Linked DNA regions of Coturnix japonica. The protein of the gene in region 2 purifies or fractionates together with the protein of the main gene of each other region. This does not show direct contact. Links are inferred from orthologs where the notes say so. Each region holds a gene or a part of one and is shown on either strand. Other genes may lie near its edges.

Region 1 (4,292 bases), on a different chromosome or scaffold from region 2:
TCCATTTTGTTGGTATGCATGTGTACAGTCTCTCTGGTGGGACTTAGAAAGAGAATCATGGTGGGGAGGCCAAGAGGGGTTTTGCAGCAGAGTGGTGTGAAGGATTGAACGCTGCTTGCCTAGCCTGATGCAATGGCATTCACCTCTAGCTCTGTCTTTCCCCATGGGTCAGTGTACAGTGTGGTTTGGGTGCTATTCTGAGGGCCAGCCTATGTCTGTGAGTTACCTTGTGCCTGCATGGCTGTTGTCAAAGCTGTTCCACAATACTGTGCATTGCCCTGCTCCTTTCTGTGTGTTAATCAAAGAGGAGATGAAACCAAGAGTGTCTGTGTTTGCGCAGGTATGCATGTGTAGACTGTGCTGGTGTTGGATCCTGGCAGTCAGGGTCTGTTTTCCCCTTGTTTCTGTTCTCAGAGGACAGAAAGCTCTCTTCTGCTAACAGCTTATTGCCAGCATGAACAGATCTCATTAATGAACAGCATTACTTAAGATCTCTGCCCTTAATGCAGTATTTTTCCAGTTGTACAGTGGCCTAAGTTGCTTTATGATCACTGTTTCCTTTCTTCCTTCCTTCTCCTCCTGTTTTTTCTCCTCCCCCATAGCTGCCAGGCCTGCTGGAAGTCCTGGTGGAGTATTTCCGGCGCTGCCTGATCGAGACCTTTGGAATCCTGAAGGAATATGAGGTGGGAGACCCAGGGCAAAGAACACTATTAGATCCCCAGAGGTTCTGCAGATCTTCAGCTTCTTCTCATGAGAAAGGGGAGGAGGATGAGGAACCACGGAGCCTGAAGTATGAGGAGGAAGAAGAAGATGAGGAAGAGGAGGAGGCTGCATTTTCAAGCAAGGACAAAGCACCTCTAGAGTGCAGCGAGGAGAAATTAGTTAGTAAATTTGACAAGCTTCCGATCAAGATTGTGCAGAAGAATGACCCGTTTGTGGTTGATTATTCAGACAAGCTGGGACGAGTGCAGGAGTTTGAGAGTGGCCTGCTGCACTGGCGGATTGGTGGTGGTGACACTACTGAGCACATTCAGACCCACTTTGAGAGCAAGATGGAACTGCCTATGATTCACAAACGAGCACCTTGCGATTCTGTCTCAAGGAAACGCGCAACAGCTGAGAGCAATCCAAGCACTAGGGAAGAAGCTTTTCCATCTGACAGCTCCTCGGAGAAGAGAATAACTGCCACCATGGATGACATGATTTCAGCATGTCCAAGCTCATTATCAGGCGAGGAGGAAGAGGCCAAAGCTTCTGAAACAGAGAAGGAAAGTAAGTTTCCATTTGGCATTAGTCCAGCACAGAGTCACAGAAATATAAAAATTCTGGAGGATGAACCTCACAGTAAAGATGAGACGCCCCTCTGTACTATCCAAGACTGGCAGGACTCTCTGGCGAAGCGCTGCATCTGTGTCTCCAACATCATCAGGAGTTTGTCTTTTGTGCCTGGCAACGACACTGAAATGTCCAAACATCCAGGCTTGGTGCTGATCCTGGGAAAGCTGATTCTCTTACACCACAAGCACCCGGAGCGCAAGCAGGCACCGCAGACTTATGAGAAGGACGAAGAGGAGGACAAAGGAGTGGCCTGCAGCAAGGATGAGTGGTGGTGGGACTGCCTCGAAGTCTTGAGGGATAATACATTGGTCACATTAGCCAACATTTCTGGGCAGCTAGACTTGTCTGCTTACACAGAAAGCATCTGTTTGCCAATTTTGGATGGACTCCTCCACTGGGCAGTTTGTCCATCAGCAGAGGCTCAGGACCCCTTTCCAACGCTGGGGCCAAATGCGGTCCTCTCCCCTCAGAGACTGGTTTTGGAAACACTCAGCAAACTCAGCATCCAGGACAACAACGTGGATTTGATTCTTGCAACTCCCCCTTTCAGTCGCTTGGAGAAGCTGTACAGCACCCTGGTGCGTTTCCTAAGTGACAGAAAGAACCCAGTGTGTCGAGAAATGGCTGTGGTACTACTGGCCAACTTGGCACAAGGGGACAGCCTGGCAGCAAGAGCAATTGCTGTGCAGGAGGGGAGCATTGGCAACTTGCTGGGTTTCTTGGAGGACAGCCTGGCTGCCACGCAGTTCCAGCAGAGCCAGGCCAGCCTGATGCACATGCAGAATGCGCCCTTTGAGTCGACAAGTGTGGACATGATGCACTGAGCTGCTCGGGCACTGCTCGCCCTGGCCAAGGTGGACGAGAACCACTCAGAGTTCACGTTGTACGAGTCGCGGCTGTTGGACATCTCCGTGTCGCCTTTGATGAACTCTTTGGTTTCACAAGTTATTTGTGATGTACTATTTTTAATTGGCCAGTCATGACAGCTGTGGGATCCGAGACCCTGTGTGCGTGTGCGTGCGTGGAAAACTTAGAAACTGACTGTTGCCCTTTATTTATGCAAAACCACCTCAGAATCCACTGTCTGCCCTGCGCTGTCCTGCTTCTCCCTGGGGCAAAGATGTCCCCATACCCTTTCCCCTTCCCCTGCCCTTCAGATTTGTCCTGAATCCCTTATTAAAGGAGACAAAGTTCTGTCTACATAGAAGACTTTTTTTTGTTGTTTTTTTTATTTTAACCAAAGTTACTGTCGTTTACAGTGAGTTTGGGGAGAATGACTTGCCGTGTTATCACATTGACAGGCTCCACTTTCATAACTGTTTTTAATGGTAAACTCTGAAGGACAAAAGTGACTGCTGAACTCTGTGGTTTATCATTGTATATTCACAATCTTGCAGGAACCAAGAAGTTACCAATTGTGAACAGACCTTGTCCAAGGGAGGCCTGTGCAGTAGCGTGTAGAACTTCATGTACTGTACACCTTAAACTGTAAACATACTGTAATACCGTCTCACAAGGAAAAAGAAAAAAACGCTGGATCAGCAGCAAGCTGTAGTTTTTAAAAATGTTTTTAGTTAATGTTGAGAAGAAAAAAGGCTTTTCCCCCAAAGTATCATGTGTGAACCTACAACACCCTGACCTCTTTCTCTCTTCCTCCTTGATTGTATGAATAACCCTGAGATCACCTCTTAGAACTGGTTTTAACCTTTAGCTGCAGCCTGAATGCTGCCACGTGTGTATATATCTATGACGTTGTACATTGCACATACCCTAAGAATCCTTGCAGTTTTGTTTGCCTTTTCCCACCCCTTTCTAGTATGACGAGTTAACGAGTTGATGACCTGCAAAAGCGAGACACAATTATTTAATCTCTTGCCAGACATCCCTCCCTGGAGGATGCTGTACAGGTCTCCATGTATAAAGTCATTGCTGTCTCAGCAGCCAATCAACTTATACTTTATTTTTCCTGTTTTTGTTTTCTTTCTAATCGAGGTGTGAAAAAGTTCTAGGTTCAGTTGAAGTTCCTGATGAAGAAACACAATTGAGATTTTTTCAGTGATGACTTCTGCATATTTGTATTTCAGACGATGTAGCTAAAAACTTGATGTAAATTCCTCCCTTTTTTCCTTTTTTGGCTTAATGAATATCATTTATTCAGTATGAAATCTTTATACTATATGTTCCACGTGTTAAGAATAAATGTACATTAAATCTTGGTAAGATGTTTGTAAGGGTTTTCTTTATTAGCAGAGCACAGGGCTGACCTTGTTGCTGTTGGGCCCTATAGGTGTGGTGTTGAAGGTCAGTTTTGTTACCATGCAGGAAGGAGGCCTCAAAGCTCCAGTACAGCATCTTGTTTGTCAGCACAGCCAGGTAACAGAGCAGCACCTTGCCCTGAGTTGCCAGTGCTGTGTGGTCTGGCTTTCCTTCTCTGCTGGGCTTGCATCATGTATGCTCCAGGAGGGTGGATCTGCTGTGTGAGGTGAAGCTCTGGCGTGGAAGAACAGACATATGGCTCTCAGGGTGGAGAAGGGAATTGCTCTGAAGGGAGGCACATTTCCCTGTCAGCTCTCTAAAATGGACAGTTTTCACTCCCCTTGCATTTTTCACTCAGTTTTGGAATTGTGATGTGGACTTGGGCATCTTCCAAGGATGGGGTTTTCCAGTAGATCTGATGCCCTTCAGCACATGGCCAGAGTTCAGGCTCTTCATGTGGAGGCCTGCACGTTTTCATGGTTAGTAAATGGATATTTTTTCATCCTCCAATGACAATAGCAGCTGGCCAACTAGAACTGCACTGAGCTCACTTAAGCAAAAGTGTCAGAGGAGAGAGAGGCTTGGCATGGATTCCTTTCCTCTTAGGAATTCCATTTTAAGGACTCTCCCAGACAAGCCAGAGGCGAGGAGCTCCTGCAGTTTCGGCTGGTAAACACTTCAGAAGAAAGTCTGTTTGA
Region 2 (4,877 bases):
ACTTTGACTTTATAACTCTTGTTTCTGTGGAAAACATGCAAAAAATAAAGAAATAAAACAAAGGTATTCAGTTACATTATGCACAGTGGTGGCAGAACTCTAGATAGGATAGCCTACAAAAATTCGATGAAATAATCTTAGATTTACATCTCTTTAAGCTGAAAAAAAAGATTCCTGGACTCCATTTCTCCTCTGCATTGAATTTTGAGAGGCCAACCACACTGTTGTAAAGTAAATGCAAAGTCACTGTATAATACTATTAACACAGTGGCGATGCTGCATGATGTAACTACCAACACAACTGCAAAACAGTGGGAAAAAAAAACAAGGCTAAGACAGCTAACAGCCTGAACTTCCCTCCCCAGATCCTCCAGGCTTCTTTGCACAGATTTAGTCTCTTATCTTTGCACTCACCAAATCCTGAGGCTTCCAGACAACAGCAGGACTTGCAGCATACATTCAGTTCTCACTATCGGCACCAGGCAATTGCTGAGCAGGAAAGATTGGTCGTGCACAGGAACGCCCTCTCCCCATGCTGCACAGCCACACGCCTCTTCTGCTGGCACCACTGGGAGATCTCAAGTGCTGCAAAAGTTACAGATAAATGAAGCAGCAGACGGCTGTCTTGGTGTCTCACAGAATGACCTGGGTTGGAAGGGACCTCAAGGATCATGAAGTTCCAACCCCCCTGGGCCCCCTGTCTCACCCACAAAGCTATCATAAGCCACTCTTGGGGAGAGCAGGGTCTGCCCCAAAGCATCAGTTACCACAGGGATGTTATGAACCACTATGAAAACAAAGCCCAAGTACAGGCACAAGCTGAAGAAACGTCCCCCAGTGTTTTAACACCCATTTTGCTTTACAGCCTTCCCCAACTGCAATTAATTCATCCTTCTCCACCAACTCTACCTTGGGTATTAGTGCCACGTGCTAGAAATCACTATAACACATTAAAGGGCACCATAAAATAAATCAAAGCACACCAACATTACACAGTACAACTAGTGGCAAAGAAAGATTTGTGCTGATCTTCCTCATGCAAACACCTATAAAACTCTTTGAAAAGGCTGACAATAGCAGGACATGGGGAAATGGTTTGAAGTTAAAAGAGGGAAGATTTAGGTTGGATGTTAGGGGGAAGTTCTTCACTAGGAGAGTGGTCAGGCCCTGGAACAGGCTGCCCAGGGAGGTTGTGGATGCCCCGTCCTTGGAGGTGTTCAAGGCCAGGTTGGACGGGGCCCTGGGCAACCTGATCTAGTAAAGGTGTATGTTTGGTGGCCCTGCCATGCAGGGGGGTTGGAACTACATGATCCTTGTGGTCCCTTCCAACCCGGGTCATTCTGTGATCCTGTGGCACACCCACCTCAAGAGCTCCTCCCTCAGCTCCTCCCTCAGCTCCTCCTCCAACTCCTCCCTCAGCTCCTCCCGCCCCTCTCTCCTCACACCGCCCTTCCCGCGCACTGCACCTACACTTGCTTGCTCTCACTCTCCTCTACCAAGCTCCTCACTTCCCGCCTCATGATTGGCTACTCATAAGCAAGCCCCTCCTCCCTCCCTTCTCTGATTGGCCGCTGTGCCCACTCAGCCGTTCTGTTGGGTAACGCTCTGCAGTGCGGGCGGGTGGGCGGACGGCGGCGGCGCTGCCATTGGCGGGAAGGCGCGGGCCTGCGAGCTGCGCTGAGCCGGGCGGCGGGGCGAGAGACCGAGTGCTATTGTTAGCACAGCGCTGAGCAGCGGGCAGCCATGAGCGGCGGTGTGTACGGCGGAGGTGAGTCTGATATAACGACACTGTTGAGCTCCCTCAGGCCCGGCTCCCTCCCGCCGCATCGCTCCGTGTGTGAGGAGAGGAGGCCGCCGCGGGCCCAGGGTCCGTCCGACCCGTCTGGGTCACCTGCAGGGATGGGGCACACACAGCAGTGCCAGGGTCTCACTGCCCTCTCTGAAAAATTGCCCCCTAACATGCGACCTAAATCTCTTCCTTTAGTGTGGAACCATTCCCCATCGTCCTGTCACTATCAAACCATGTAGAAAGTCAGTTTCCCTCTTGTTTATAAGCTCCCTGTAAGGCTGCAACAAACTGTCACTGGCACCTTCTCCAAGCTAAGCAAAGCCAGCTCCCTTTCTCCATAGCAGAGGAGCTTCAGCCCTTTGATTGTCTTGACCCTCCTCTGGACTCACTCCAACATCTCATTCTTATGCTGGGGGCCACAGGCCTGAATGTGGTACAACAGATGGGACTTGGCGAGGGCAGGGCACAAGGGGATGGTCACCTTCCTTGCTCTGCTGGCCACCCCTCCCCTGATGCAGCTCAGGATGCTGTTGGCTTTCTAGGCTGAAAGCACACACTGCTGGCTCATGTCCAGCTGTCTGAGTCTCAAGTCCTGTGCAACACCTTGTACGTGGCCTTGTTGAATGTCATGAAGTTCATGTGGACTCGCTTCGCAAGCCTGTGTTTAGATGCAGCTCTCGTCTGTTAAAATTGCCCTTTTTCTTTTGCCAATGAAAGGTATTGCAGTGTCCTGGTTACAGCCTATCTGTAACCTCCTGGTGGCTCTCAGTTAGCTTGAATTCTGAATAGAGAAATTGCTCTGTGTCTCAGGAAAGATGCTTTATCATATTGGGCTTTTTTTTGTTTGTTTGTTTGTTTTCTGGCAAGCAAAGCAGACAAGAGATAAGTTCAGGTCAGGATTGCAGTAGAGCACAATAACCATTCACTACTTCTTTGTTAACAATCTTTGCAGATGAAGTTGGGGCTCTTGTTTTTGACATTGGCTCGTATACAGTGAGAGCAGGCTATGCAGGCGAAGACTGTCCAAAGGTAAGAATCTTTATGAACTCAGTGGGATTACAATTGGAGCTTGAACTTGTTTATTAGTCATAAGCTTCCAGAATATACTGTTTATTATTATTTAAGGAAAACTCTGAATTTTATTAGCCCCCTAAAAAACAAACCAATGAAAAACAAAACCAAAAACCAACAAAACAACCCACATCCAAAATGAATAACCTTCATCAATATTTTACCTTTTGCTTTACAGGTTGATTTTCCAACAGCTATAGGCGTGGTGCTAGAAAGAGACAATGGCAGCACTCTGATGGAGATAGATGGTGACAAAGGCAAACAAGGGGGCCCAACGTACTACATAGACACCAATGCCCTGAGAGTCCCAAGGGAAAATATGGAGGCCATTTCACCTTTAAAAAATGGAATGAGTATGGTGCTCTGTCTTTTTTAGCTGTCTTTAAGATACAATTGTTAGGCTGCAACAAGTCATAGCTTTCATGTAAACAGATGCTATCCATGTCAACTGTTTTTTCCTTTGGACTTAGAAAGCAGGCTCGTAAAGAAACGGTTCTGCTTTCACTTAAGATATTTTAATACGATAATGAGCATTTTTATGTCTTAATGGGAGACTTGTAGATTCTTGTTTATTTGATGGCTTTAATTTAGCTGTCTCCTTTGATAAAACAATTAAGAAACAAGTTTTTGGAAATAGTTCCTAATATTGTTCCTGTAACGTGTATGGACAGAGGCTATCAGCCATAAGAATGGCTCAATTTACAAAATGTCAGTGGACTTTTATTGTAACTTATTTATTTATTATTATTTATAATAACAATTCTTATTTGCTGTCATGATGCTTAAAAAAATATAGATGAGAATTTGGCAAAGCAGGAGGGGTATAGGGCTGCTGAGGACGGCTTTTGTCTGAAGAGCTCTTAGGAAAAAAAAAAACATCAGGAAAACTTTATGTGGATTTATGAAGTAGATCAAAAGTTAGAAGTAACTAATCTGCTTGCTTCGATGTCGTTGCAGTTGAAGACTGGGATAGTTTCCAGGCAATTTTGGATCACACTTACAAGATGCATATTAAATCTGAAGCGAGTTTGCATCCTGTCCTTATGTCTGAAGCACCAGTGAGTAAAAGGAGCTTTGCATTGTGAGGAGACTTATCAGTATCTTCTTGCTGAATCTATAGACATTAGTCTTGGAGAAACCCAGCACTGGCTTGTAGGTTATGAGTGTTAAAACTGAACTACAGAAGTAACATTTAAAAATATCATGCAGGTTCTGGAAAGTATTCTCAATAGGAAAAATGTCAAAAAAAAGCCCAAATTTGAAAGAATTTCTATGCGTTTCATTAGAACACACTTACTATGTGTTACTGTATTTCATGTATTTAAAAAAAAAAAAAAAAAAGTAGTATAAAATCAAAAATAACCTCACTTGACAGCACAGAATAAAAGCAAAAAGTTGTCTGAATGTCTTCATATATTACACTTAATCCATCTTTGCATGCAATCAGCCTGCCATCTAACGTGACAGGGAATAACACGTGTAGTGGAGTTTTAATTTCGTTTCAGCAAATGCTCCTGTAACATAAATGAGGTGCATGAACACAGATTTCTGGAGAAAAACGTGAACAAAGTTTCTGTCATTTAGTTGTGGAAGTGCTGAGTCACAGCTTGAAGCAGTGATTGAGCACCTCAATCACTGGGCAGGGCCAACTCAGGGATGCATTCAATGTACCAACCCCTTCCTAGACCTAATTTAAGGGTTGGCAGTGAGAGTCTTTTGTTGGGGATCCCTTTTACCTGAAGCTTCTAAGGATAAGTAGTTTTTTTTCCTTCATGTCTGTGTCTATGGCTGCTCTATTTGGGCTGGTTCTCATTTGCTGTAGCTGAAGGCTTTGCCACTCTGTTGTTATTGCTGTCTATCACATTAGAGTGTTATGCTTGAGGGGCATAAAATCTGAAGGCATTAAAGTAGACCTGTAATCCAAGAGTTTTGCCTACTTTCTGTAAATTTACTGTCTGTGCACTTATATTGAAGATATGTATTAATGTTTTGAAGTAGTATTAGAACAATACAGTTT
Region 3 (4,319 bases), on a different chromosome or scaffold from region 2:
TCTTTCCAACACCTTTCCTTGTTTCTCTGATTTAAAAGCGTAGAAAATAAGCAAGAATATAGTCAAGTTTAAGTTCTAGCAGCTATCATATCTACACTGTCTAGGTTCACTTAAAGGATAGCAGTGAACCCAAGTCAAATCCAGAATGAGCCCTAAAGTCTTCTTCCTACGTGCTGAAAAACAAAATTAAGAGCAGCAGTGCAGTGTCTTTGTGTTCCCTGTTAAGATGCTTTGAGAGCAGTGGGAACAATATTCGGTGAGGGGCCGGATGAGTCCCTTGTCGGCTCTTTTACCTCCAGTCAAGTGCTGTGGGTGCAGGTCCCTGCACAGCCTGCGCTCCCCGGCCTCACATCGTAGTGACTTCCTTAATGTGTACTGAACATGGTGTGAGAACAGTCACCCCTGTCACCACGTTCCATTTTAACTATATGAGTGTCCCAGGGCTTTTCAGTGTAAATTTTGCATACGCGCTGCAGAAAAACGTACAGATCTTTGTTTGTTGTGGTCAGGTCTCTGAGCCGGCCCACGCGCCAGGCGGTGTGCAGGGCTCGTGTAGTCAGTGTCGTGTTTGCAACCTGTATGCAGATGGCAGAGCTTTGAGCTGTGTTAAAAGCGCTTGTTAGTAACATTTAATTGTGGCTGAGTTTATTCCTCGTGTTAACACGTCTCAGTATTCAGCATTTGTTGCCCCCATGAGAAATGTACGAATACACTAAATACTAATTCATCCACAGCGTAGTGTCTCATATCGGTAACTGTATTTCATTTTCGAGATACACTAATTGTAGTCTCGTCTTGCTGTACTAAGGGTGCTTTCGATTTCATTTTATTGTTTTGTGCATAGTGCATGATTTACTGTATAGATCATATTGCATGTCATTGATGCATGTTTGAAATTTGTTGTGTCCCTCAAGGCATGATAAGTGGCTATCCACCGGTGCTGCCACCTTTGCAGGGCCCAGTTGATGGCATTGTTAGCATGGGCAGCATGCAGCCACTTCACCCAGGGGTGCCCCCACCCCACCAACTCCCGCCAGGTATGCCAGGCATCCCAGGCATCCCGCCGCCCGGTAAGAACTCATCCTCATTGGCTCTGTGTTTCATTGTCATGTACGTGCTGTTTAACGGTTGTTACAGGAATTACCTGCAGCTTGTTTGGATGGTAGCGCAGTGAATTGTTTCTGCAGGTTTGTTTAACTGCAGCACAGATGGTGCATTGCTGAGTGCAGGGGGGGTGCAAAGCGATTCCATTGGCAGAATACACACCTGGTAGAGGAACAGCAAAAGGCCACTGGAGAAATGTGAGGCTGCTCCATCAGTGCTTTTGTACCAGCCAAAAAAATACCTGAGAATTACCAAATGTCTGACAACCCGCAGTCGGCTTGTTCGTATCCCTGTGCCACCCTCTCCACACTGGAGTGAAATAAGTGAATTTCAAACGGAATTTGAAATGAAATGTGTTCCCTCATTTCTTACTGAGCTCATTTTCAGTGTATGAGCTGATGAACGTTCTGGATGCACTTTGATGCACCCAGAGGTGTCGGACCCATCGGCCACTGCACACCACTGTATGTTACTATGAAACTGTGTGTGGGTTGTGCCTTGCAGCTGGAGCTGGGAGCTGTTGGCAGTGAGGTGAACTGACTGCTACTGGGACCAAACTCTGATTTTTTGAAAGCACGTTTACTCCACATTTGCTATTTTCTTGCCACCCTGTTGTTGACAGGTAAGGCTGAACAAATCATACCACATTTTCTGGCTTTAATGCCAATAGTGGCCATTTTGTGGGGAAAAATGCTCACCTGCCCTCTCATCCAGTTGCCTGTGGCTTCTTCCAGTAGTTACCTCTGCTGACTCAGGTGGCTGTTAGAGATGTGCATTGCATCCATTCGGCAGTTAAACAAGCCATGGGCAGAAGTGCTGTTTGCCTCCCCTGCCCCTCTGCAGCTGTGTTGATGGAAGCCCTGTTGGAGCTGTATGTCTGCAGATCGCTGTGATGGTTGGATGTTGTTTGCTTGCTTTTGTTTGTTTTTCAACCCGTCAGTGTTAGTTTGCATCTTCGCCAGTAGGCAAGGATCACCATAAATTCACATAGGGTAGGATAAGTGCTATGTCTGAGCTTGCCTGCAGCTCACCGTGGTGCTGACATGTAAGCACACAGCAGCAGCAGCAGCAGCATACAGATATTGGGAGGCGACTCTGGGACAGCACGTTTCTTTGCACAGTGTTTCCAGCTGAGCTGCGTGTGTGAGCAAAGCAGTGCCAGGGATGGGGGTGGTGTTAGATGGGGCTGGGTGGGCTCAGGGTGAGGCAGGTGAGGGTGTCCCCTCCGGACCTGTTCCCTTTGTACCACAACAAAGATCAGTGCTGCATCCCACAGCTCGCACTGTTGGTGTTTTTCCCGACTTCTGACTTAGTACAGGTGCATTTCAGATGGGGGGTTGTAATCGAATGGAAAATCAACGTGAAGTCTGCTTTAGCATGAAGAGCGCAGTGACACGGCTCCTGGTCACTGATGCAGAAACCTGCCTGCAAATTCAAGCCTTAGGAAGACTCTTAATTATTATTTGGCATCTTTTGAAATGAAGGAATTAAAACAAAAAGTGGCATGGAGAGAAAGAAGCGGCAACACGCATGGCTTATTTTAATGTATGCCTAATAGCAGGGGCTGCACACTGTGGTCTGTACATGGGGATATCCATGTGGTAGGGAAAAGCCTCTTTGTAGAGCTGGGGAAAAAACTGACCTGCCTTTGTGCTTTCGTTTTTCTAATATTTTCCTGTGTCTCGTATGAGACTATTCAAGCTGAACCTGTACGTGGTGTTTTATCTATGTACATATTTATATGCAGAAGTTATGCAGTGGCTTGGCTTTCTTCCTGCCATGGGTGTATTTTATACCATTAAACACCAGGAAATGTTGGGTGTTGCTAACGCAAATCAGCTTTTCCCTTCATGAGGATTTCAGGAGGATTATGTCAAGCCAAAGGTGTAATGAAGGAAATGAAGTAGCCAGGCCACACTGCGTAAAGGAGAAAAGGAAGCTTTGCATTGCTGTAGTGAAATGAAATCCAGCAGGCCGCACATCAGTGCTGGGAGTTGTTCTGGTGCCTTTTTTGTTGTTCATACAGAAAATAACAAGGTGTTCCTTATTGTGGGAAAGCGGGATGTTTGAATGTTCCCAAAGTAGCTTTAAGCAATGATTTCAGTCTGAATGTGCACTGTAGAAGACCAAAGAGGTATTTCTCTCTGCTCTGAAGTAAGACTAATCGTTGTATATTTTGGAATATAGGTGTTATAGGCCAAAATGTGTCCCCCATGGTAGGCACTCCAGCCCCCGGCGCAGGTCCCTTTGGACAGCAGGTGAGTGTGAGTCCTTCTTGCATTATTTGTGAGGCTCCAAAGGTCTGGATTAGCATTTAAACAGTTAAGACATAAGGAATGCACACAGCTTTTTGCAGAGAGAACAGGAACCCCAGATGCACACCACTATATTCAGAACCAGTTAATACCTCTCTCTCAGTGCCTGTTTGTATTTCTTGGTTGATTTGTTATTGGACTAATTGGGTTCTGCCCGGTGGGATAAGTTCTGCAATATAAGCAAAACAGGTTTCTTTTCCTTTCTGCTGAGCTAATACAAGTCACGTAAACACACAGTTAAGCTGCTGGCAGTTTGGGCTTTGCATGCATTGGAGATGCAGAGCAGGTGCTGTCCACTTTCTTAGCCATGGCTTAATGGAGAAAAACTGTTCAGTTTCTCCCAGATCTTACTCACCAACAAAGCAGATGTTCATCGGCCATTTATGTCTGGGAGTTTTGATGCCGGTGATGATCAGTTTGTTCTCAATGTAAACATGGGTTAAATGTTCATCACGCTGAGTTTTATGGATCACACTTGCATTTGGTGAGAGGGTGTAAGGAAAAACAGAAGCTGAGTAAGAAGGCAATAGAGTGTGTTTGTCACGGCAGCGAGGTATTTAAACCATAGGTCGGCTCTGCTAAGAGTTCTCAGTACTGCTGGTAAATGGCAGCTGTGGGAATTCTGTGGGATGGGGATTTCTGTGACTGCAGTTTTTGTCTGACTGAGATTCACATTTATTCTGGGAATCATCCCAATCTTCCAAGGATCAGGATTGCTTTGGGTTACATGCAGTAGGCAGCCCAAAAGCAAGATAAAGCCCACGCTGTGCACATTACAAATCTTCTGGTCAAATTTCGGAAAGCGTAAAATAGAAACAGTGCGAGGGGGGGTAATTAGGGGTAATGGAAGAGAGGAGAAATGGTGGTAGTGGTGATGTTCTCTGTTAAATGAGGTTTGTT

What was found. Proteins that work in one complex are often made in the same cells at the same time.
Region 1: the proteins of ACTL6A (region 2) and ARID1A purify together in Homo sapiens (affinity purification with mass spectrometry; 5 studies listed by BioGRID and IntAct, with this or other methods). This does not show direct contact. The link is inferred for Coturnix japonica from reciprocal best matches to the Homo sapiens genes ACTL6A and ARID1A.
Region 3: the proteins of ACTL6A (region 2) and PBRM1 fractionate together in Homo sapiens (co-fractionation; 4 studies listed by BioGRID and IntAct, with this or other methods). This does not show direct contact. The link is inferred for Coturnix japonica from reciprocal best matches to the Homo sapiens genes ACTL6A and PBRM1.

The regions. Positions count from the first base shown.
Region 1 is NC_029538.1:45,916-50,207, reverse strand, and holds the end of ARID1A (AT-rich interactive domain-containing protein 1A), read left to right. Parts: intron 1-602; coding exon 603-2,162; 3' UTR 2,163-3,558; downstream 3,559-4,292. UniProt on the Homo sapiens protein: Involved in transcriptional activation and repression of select genes by chromatin remodeling (alteration of DNA-nucleosome topology).
Region 2 is NC_029524.1:15,354,229-15,359,105, reverse strand, and holds the start of ACTL6A (actin-like protein 6A), read left to right. Parts: upstream 1-1,605; 5' UTR 1,606-1,743; coding exon 1,744-1,768; intron 1,769-2,741; coding exon 2,742-2,818; intron 2,819-3,038; coding exon 3,039-3,213; intron 3,214-3,817; coding exon 3,818-3,918; intron 3,919-4,877.
Region 3 is NC_029527.1:336,705-341,023, reverse strand, and holds part of PBRM1 (protein polybromo-1), read left to right. Parts: intron 1-914; coding exon 915-1,070; intron 1,071-3,291; coding exon 3,292-3,362; intron 3,363-4,319. UniProt on the Homo sapiens protein: Involved in transcriptional activation and repression of select genes by chromatin remodeling (alteration of DNA-nucleosome topology). Required for the stability of the SWI/SNF chromatin remodeling complex SWI/SNF-B (PBAF).